Linked DNA regions of Saccharomyces cerevisiae S288C. The protein of the gene in region 1 interacts with the protein of each later gene in a pairwise test. Each region holds a gene or a part of one and is shown on either strand. Other genes may lie near its edges. The genes, in order: GID7 and GID8.

What was found.
Region 2: the proteins of GID7 (region 1) and GID8 interact in binary tests that used the Saccharomyces cerevisiae proteins (3 or more experiments, as listed by UniProt).

The regions. Positions count from the first base shown.
Region 1 is NC_001135.5:50,721-55,455, reverse strand, and holds GID7 (glucose-induced degradation complex subunit GID7), read right to left. Parts: upstream 2,812-4,735; coding exon 574-2,811; downstream 1-573. Other genes in the region: ATG22 (Atg22p), read left to right, coding at 1-515; GLK1 (glucokinase), read right to left, coding at 3,116-4,618; YCL042W (uncharacterized protein), read right to left, coding at 4,513-4,735.
Region 2 is NC_001145.3:538,047-541,869, reverse strand, and holds GID8 (glucose-induced degradation complex subunit GID8), read left to right. Parts: upstream 1-1,813; coding exon 1,814-3,181; downstream 3,182-3,823. Other genes in the region: GAT2 (Gat2p), read right to left, coding at 1-671; ERG29 (Erg29p), read right to left, coding at 3,319-3,823. UniProt on the Saccharomyces cerevisiae protein: Component of the GID E3 ligase complex recruiting N termini and catalyzing ubiquitination of proteins targeted for degradation.

The DNA.
Region 1 (4,735 bases):
TAAGTGTTTTGACCGTTGTAAATGCAATGCTGGGTGCCTTTATGATTCCACAATTTCTTGCCACAAAGTTTCGGTGGACTTCTAGTCAAACTTTGATGTACATTATCATTTGGGCAAGTTTCATACCATTTTATGGTATTCTTGGATTTTTCTTCAATGCGTTCGGTTTAAAGCATAAGTTTGAAATGTTCTTATTGGCCATTTGGTATGGATTATCACTAGGTGGCCTGTCCGCGGTTTCAAGATCAGTTTTCAGTTTGATTGTACCTCCAGGAAAAGAATCCACGTTTTTTAGTATGTTCAGTATCACAGATAAGGGGTCGTCCATCCTGGGACCCTTCCTTGTTGGACTGCTTACCGATAAAACGCATAATATTCGCTATTCGTTTTATTTCTTCTTTTTGCTTTTGATGCTATCATTGCCTGTGCTAAACTGTTTGGATGTCAAGAGAGGTAGAAGAGAGGCTGAAGAACTCAGTCAAGTTTTACCTGAAAGTGAAAGAAGGTTGGATTAGTTCTTTTTTTTTTTTTGTTACATAAAACTTTGCTTACGTATATATATAAGGTGGAGTATTAATTTCTTGAAATTTTCCAGATTTTTATCTTACCGTCATCACCGCCAGAAGCAAACATTTCTTTATCTGCAGGGTTTGATGCAACTACGTTACAATTTTTCCCCATGGGTTTTGTGGAATTACTCATTACCGTGGAATGACCGGATAAAACAGATACTAGGTTACCTCTAATTCTATCCCAAATGTAAATTTTACCATCTTCTGATCCGCTCATGACAAGCTTATTACCGTAGGCGAAGCAAGATCTGATAATAAAGTGCTGTTGCTTCTGTCCAAAGTACTTTTGTATGAGAATATTTTCTTTATAGTCCCACATTTGTAATTCGTTATCTTGAAGGCTAACTAATACCAAATGTTGAGACTCGGATATTTGTTGCCTATGGAAGCCTTGATGCGTGGTATTTAGCGGTAATGAGATACAAGTCATGTTTTTGCCCACGTCCAATCTTGCGATCCTTGGAATCAGAAAGTTTTTGGGATCCACTGTTTGCTTAGATAGCTCCTCTTTGGAGGGGAACCCACTGAAATCGTAGACATCTATAACGCCCTGGTGGGTCATTAAAAGCACGTATTTATCGTCATAGCTGATTTTCACGTCGTGCACACGTGGAAAGGTTTCGTCGTCCTCCACATATTGCCAGTTACCATTGCTACTTGTTGGTTTGTAAAGGACTTTTGCAGGATCGATTGATTTTCTCCCAGAGATGTTTTCATCGTGGCCCAACGCGATACAAGTCCTGCCTTTTAAGCTAAAAAGTGACTCTTTCGTGGTGAGTGAGTGTACAATAGCTTCTCTGTCGGGCGATCCAACCACCATCCAGCCCGCACGTTCCGCAGTGTGGAAGGCATCGCAGCACCATACTCTTGATTGATTAGAATTCGCGTTTGCCGGCCTCGAGGAAGATGATGCTGATGATTCGGTATCATCTGGGTACGTGGTGGTGTCCAGTTTAAACGAGTCCATGGGCGAGAGCCTGGTAGAAGGGTATAGTAGGAACGAGTCTGTGGCAGACGCATCGGGCAGGGAGGTGGCATTCATGTCGTAAATGGTAACATCTTCGCTGAAAGGGCAAGCAACCAGATACCGGCTATCAGGAGAAAACATGAGGTACAATACGGATTGTGACAAGCTCACGCAAGTCTTATAAATTTTGAAGTCTTGTTCCACATCATAAACAGTAATGAAGTAGCCTCTTGAAGACTCGGAAGTCGCAGAAGCCAAATACTTGCCATTGGGCGAAAATGTCAAAAACCAAATTTCGTCTGTGGTGTCTTGGATAGTCTTCCATTCTTGAAAGGTCACAGTCAGATCGTGTGAGAAGTTATCCTGCAAAAGGTTGATCCGGTGGGGTGGAGAGGAGAAAGAGGCGTCATCATCCGGATCGATGATATTAAAAATGTCTTGTGATTGTTGATACTTGATGGCCTGTTTCAAGAGATGCAAGAGACGACCCTTGGGAACGAGTTCGTTCGGATCGATATATTTGGAGATGGCGTCAATCAGATGGTCTCGCTCGAGGTTCAACTGCGCGGTTAGTTTTGGGTTGGTCAGGTACGTCGACAGTTCTCTCAAGGTCGTTTCCGGATTGAAGATGTTTTCTTCATTTAGGAACTGATCGTTAGACACCAGCAGGGAATCCCATATCTCGATGAAGTTTTTGAGGATTTTGCGCAAATACAGGACGGGCAGTGCAGTGTGAGGGCCCTTGTGAGAGGCGGAATTTGTGACTGGATGGAAGAATTCGAGGAATATTTGTCTATTAACTAGAATCATGATCTCTACGTAATTTCTGAGCGTGGCGATCTCTGCGTCCGAACAAGTAGATGAATTTACAGAGCTCATCAGCTGTTGCAGGTATTGCAGTTGCAGGAGCATGTGGTCGAAAAGTGAAGTCGTGGCGGGCGTCGGCGTGGGAATGAGCAGCCTTTGAAGCCATTCGGACCTTAGCGGAGAGCTATGGGCAAGGGGCAGCGAGCAAACAATCTGCCAATTAATAAGATGGAATTGGCCGGTCTTGATGAGTTTGAAGAAAGTCTGGATGTGGTTAGACTCATTTTGATATCCGCCGCTCTCTAGCAGTAACTGGTTAGCGGCGGAGTCGTAGCCCAGCTCCTTTAGAGTATGTATCAGTAATTTAGTGAGCTGTTTCTTGTCAAAACAACCAACGGAAGAGGGCGAGGCTGTTTCCTCCGTGTCATTGTTCAACACGTATGCGATCTTATTAGTGTGTGACATTTTATTAGTTGAAGTAGTACGCCCCCTTGGAAGTGTTTTTCATATTTGACTTCCAAAAATGATAAAGGAAGACCTAGCAAGGCATTTATTGTTCTTCATTTTCCCTTAAAAACCAAAGGCCCGTTTCCGATGATATTGTTCATTAATGTGAGAAAATCATACATACATACATACGTTCTTATACGGTATTGTATAAGAATGTATGTATATACACTGAAAATATACATATATATATATATATATAAAGGAGAGAAGATGGTAAGTACGGTGGGATACGTACACAAACCAAAAAAATGTAAAAAGATCATGCTACAAGCGCACACAAGGCGGCACCCACTCCGGAACCATCCTTGGCAATCTTCAAGTGCACCTTCCTCTCACCCTCGGCACCCAAGGGTGACAAGGCTAAGGCGTGTCTCAGCATAGATCTGAAACCGGGGTAGTATTCCACAACGGAACCATCACAACCGATCTCGACTTCACCATGATATCTCTTGTTCAAAGCATTTGTCTTGATCAATATCGCGGCAAGCGGCACGGCGGCTAAATACGCAGATCTCCTAGAAATCGCGCGCACCAATTTTTGAATTTGAACACGCTCTGTTGGAGTGGTGGGCAGTCTGAGACTCTGTAATAATGACAACTCTGTTTCACGTAGACCTGTCGAGTCGTCAATTTCAATATGCGACAGCACTTCGGATGACAACTGGAAAGGTGTAGTCAAGTGGCGAGGAAGTTGTTCCTTGGACCTGTACTGTTGCAAAAGCAAGCCTTGCGAGTGCAAGTCCACTAAAATGTTACGCAACACCTCACCCAAGAACATCCCTGAGACACGTTTTTCAAACAAGTGAAATCCCGGGTTCGTTGACAGTTTCTGGTCAATTACGACGTCATACTTAGTAGTAGGCAAGTGCTTGAGCTCATTATCGAAGGACCCCCATTCGACATTGATGATCATGTGTGTCTTACCCTCCTTTATCAACTTGTCACGCAACTCCTGTGGCAACTTCGTGATCTTGTTGATCTCCTCCATATAGCACCCATTGGTACCGGTACCGAAAATACATCCGATGACCGGCTCCGAGATTTCTCCGGACGTCATTGAGTCCGTGTTATCGGACGTGTAGCAATGCGATAGGTACGTTCCGACGGTGTCGTTGGTTAATGCAACAACCTTGATCATAGGCATACCCTGAGCGCTTAATTGCTCCTGGTACAATTGCACGACATCCTTTCCGACGGTGTCCGCGATGCGGAAACCCTTGGTCCAACGGATCAATGTCCCGGAGTTTAGAGAGGTCTGGTCTACAGGGTATGAGAAAGTGAACCCCAGTTTCATGGGCTTGGCGTCTTTACCCTTGGCCAACTCGTCCGGGTGATACTTCTTCATAAAGGCCAGTGTACGACGTGCTAGAAACCCAAACAGGTCGTCAGATGTGACGTTCTCATCGTCTAGCAAATCATCGGGAATCTTGGACTTCATTTGCTCCATGGAGAAAGTATGATCTCCATGCAAGTTAACAGAACATATACGGAAATTGGTACCACCCAGGTCGGCGGCTAGTAAAACACCGCGCTCCGTCCCGTTGGGTGACCCGGTGACGAACGCCGGAATCATAGGAAGACCTTTGTCCGAGGCCAATGTGTGGCCTTCCTTTGGTGGAGCTAGACCTTTTTCCATTTGTTCGATGAAGTAAGCAGTTAATTCGTCCAGCTTCTCGGGGGTAACCTCGAAATCGTCGCAGATCTGGTCCACGGCCTGGATGACCGCTCTCTCAGTGGCTTTGTGTAAGTCGTCGAATGACATCTTGTGTATGATAGAGTTGTATTAGTGGTGGTGTTGTGGTTTACGGAAGCTGAGTTGGGCACTGATGGGGGGGTTGGGGGTTCTGTTGATAGCGGATATTTATATGGGCGCGTTTTC
Region 2 (3,823 bases), on another chromosome or scaffold:
TTTAGATCATTTGCTGTAGTGGTAAGTTCGTTGTTTTCAAAATGTTTAGAAAATGAAACTACCCTGTTAATTTCATGACAGGAACGTTCATCAATATTGTCCAGCACTTCATTCTGATTCGAGTTTACGGGTTTATCGTTATTAATGTTATCAGTACCAATGCCATTATTGGTTTTATTGTAAACTGGTACTTGTTGGAAATGAATATCAGTAGCAACAGGAGCATGCATTTGAGGGTGAATATTATTTAGCTGAAAGTGAGAAATATTGGGCGGCATGTGGGGATCCGGTATGATGCTGACCAGCCGCTGAGGAGCAGAAGGAATTTGGTGTGTATTTCTATAATGTGAGTTGTTGGATATTTGAATATTAACGGCGGGAAGAACAGAATTAATGTTGTTATTTTTTATAGTGTTGTTACTATGGTTGTTGTTATCATTATTGTTGGGATGATGATAGTAGTATGCGTAGTTGTTGTTTGCGCTGTTTATATGGGCATTCGGTCCATTATAATGCTGCAAGGGTAATGGAGAATTTATAGTTACAGTAGAATGCAAAGGATCTACTCTCGGAGCAGAATGGTCAAAAACAAGTTGTGGAGGACCGTATGTGAACCCGGGCAGTGCTTGTGGCTGTGTTTGAGAGAAGGGGTAGATATTGGGGGCTTGCATCTCGATGAAATTTTTTGAGACAAGTCGTAAAAGCCCTTTATTAAAGTGAAAACAAACAATTCACTATGAACGAAAACAATATTAGAGCAAAGGAAATCACTAAAAGTAGATGGAGAAAATAAAAAAACGCCGTGAACGGAAATAGAAGAAATATGAGGGGACGCAAGGAAGTAAAAGGACCAGGAAAGAAAAAATCCTCCTTCAATATATACCAAGATATACAAGAAACTGAAACTCAAAAAATAACTTTTATACAAGATTGCCGACACGAAGAAAGGAAACGATAGCCGAATGTCTTAATGCAATAACAACTGCATTAACAATTAAGCAAATTTAGGAAATTTGCTTATAACCTTATATTTCAAAATAACCGTTGAGTTTTAGCTTTTGCACAATTCCGCGCCGGGCCCCGCGCAGGGAAAATCGCAGCAGCCGGAAAAACCGCCATCCAGCACCTTCAGTTGGGGAAAGCAAAGCAACCGAACGAAACTATATCTGAGATAAGGGCGGTGCAAAAAGAATGTGAAACCACGCTTGAAAAATGAAGTCACGGTTACACTATCTCCAACTCTGCAGGGTACAGTGCTTCTGATCGTGCATCCTTTTGTGGTCTGGACCAGCGTCGACGCGGCGACAGAAGTAGCGATGTTTCGCAGTGATAGACGCGTAGCGGTACAGGCCTGCGGCGGCTGTTGTGCGGTGACGTGCCCATGACTCAACAAAAAAATAAAAATAAGCAAACGGAAAAACCATATTAGTTCCCCTTTCTGCTGCTCCTACTCCTGTGCGTTTTCTCTTGCGCTCCTTTTTTCCCTGTTTTATTTTTTTTGTGTTTTTCGCTCGGCTTGGGTTTGTGTGTACGGCCCTTTTTGGGATCCCGGAGTTTATTTGACTGTTGTCCGGATCCGTTCCGAGTGAATGGTAATCGCTCCATTGTGTTGCTGTTTATCACTATCAGTGTCGATCTCGCTTTCCTGACTCTGCCGGCGCGGTGCCCCGGTTCGTTGCAGGAGACATTTTGATGGTACATCATTTTTCTTGAAGCTAACATGTGTAATTTGGTCATTAAATTGCAAGCAAAGGGGCAGTAGAGACAAATATCAGCCGGATGAAGATATATTTGTGTGTGGTAACAAATAGAAATGACTATATCTACTCTTAGTAACGAGACCACGAAGAGCGGATCTTGCAGCGGCCAAGGCAAGAATGGTGGGAAAGACTTTACGTATGGAAAGAAGTGCTTCACGAAGGAAGAATGGAAGGAGCAGGTGGCCAAGTATTCTGCCATGGGCGAGCTATATGCAAATAAGACAATACATTATCCGCTGAAAATTCAGCCCAACAGCAGTGGCGGCTCGCAGGACGAGGGATTTGCTACCATACAGACCACACCCATAGAGCCCACACTGCCACGGCTTCTGTTGAACTACTTTGTTTCTATGGCATATGAAGACTCGAGCATTAGGATGGCCAAGGAGCTGGGATTTATACGGAACAACAAAGACATTGCGGTTTTCAATGATTTGTACAAGATCAAGGAGCGTTTCCATATCAAACATCTTATTAAGCTGGGGCGTATCAATGAGGCGATGGAGGAGATAAACTCTATCTTCGGGCTGGAGGTGCTGGAAGAGACTTTCAATGCTACGGGAAGTTATACGGGTAGAACTGACAGGCAGCAGCAGCAGCAGCAGCAGCAGTTTGACATAGATGGAGATTTACACTTCAAACTGCTGTTACTGAATTTGATCGAGATGATAAGAAGTCACCATCAACAGGAGAACATCACCAAGGATTCCAACGACTTTATACTCAATCTAATTCAGTATTCTCAAAATAAACTTGCAATAAAGGCTTCGTCAAGTGTCAAAAAGATGCAAGAGTTAGAATTAGCAATGACTCTGCTGCTTTTCCCCTTGTCAGATTCGGCGGACAGCGGCAGCATTAAGCTGCCCAAATCGTTACAAAATCTGTACTCGATATCTCTAAGATCTAAGATAGCAGATCTGGTTAATGAGAAGCTGCTGAAGTTTATTCATCCAAGGATTCAATTTGAGATCAGCAATAATAATTCCAAATTTCCAGATTTGTTAAATTCCGACAAGAAAATAATTACGCAGAACTTCACGGTGTATAACAACAATCTCGTCAATGGTTCAAATGGTACAAAAATAACTCACATTTCGTCTGACCAACCTATCAACGAAAAGATGTCAAGCAACGAGGTCACGGCTGCTGCTAATTCAGTTTGGCTAAATCAAAGGGATGGAAATGTTGGCACAGGTTCAGCGGCGACAACTTTTCATAACTTAGAAAATAAAAATTACTGGAATCAAACTTCTGAATTGCTTTCCTCTTCAAATGGAAAGGAAAAAGGTTTAGAATTCAATAATTACTACTCTTCCGAATTTCCCTATGAACCAAGATTGACGCAGATAATGAAACTGTGGTGTTGGTGCGAAAATCAGCTTCATCACAACCAAATAGGGGTTCCTAGGGTCGAAAACTGACATACATAGTACGTATATATTTATATATGTGTGTGTGCGTGTGCATGTGTGAGTGAGTGTGTGTGTGTGTGTGTGTGTGTGCCTACCTGCATGTATGCATTTAGCAATTGATTTTTCTTTTTTTTTTTTGGAAGCTTTCATAGTATGAATTCGCATTTTATCGTGTTTCCCGTATCAATCTTCAGGAAACATAATTGAACATCATCGATATTCAATGGCAGTAGTTCATCTTTATGATTGTAAATTTTGACACCGTTGGAAATCGTAAACTTTCTTGCCCCTTCACCGCCCTCATTCTTAATTATATCGCGATATATTTCGCAATCTTTAAAGTAGTGGTAAAGTCTCAGCCTCAATACACGCAAGGTAGTACCAAACTCAGGTCTTTTTTCATTTTCATAATCCTCTGGAGAAAATTCAACATGAAATTTTAATGGGGTGGACAGAAGTTCTTTCCCATCTACAATAACATTACATTCGACATCCAATTCTGATACAAACACAGGTTTTGCAAAAAACTTATCGCGATCTTCGAACTCTTCAATAACAATACCGCTTTTCTCGTCTTTGTATTCTTTACCGTGATATTCATCACTCACCAACATCCGATGAAGCTTCAGACTTTCATCGATTCTTCCACGC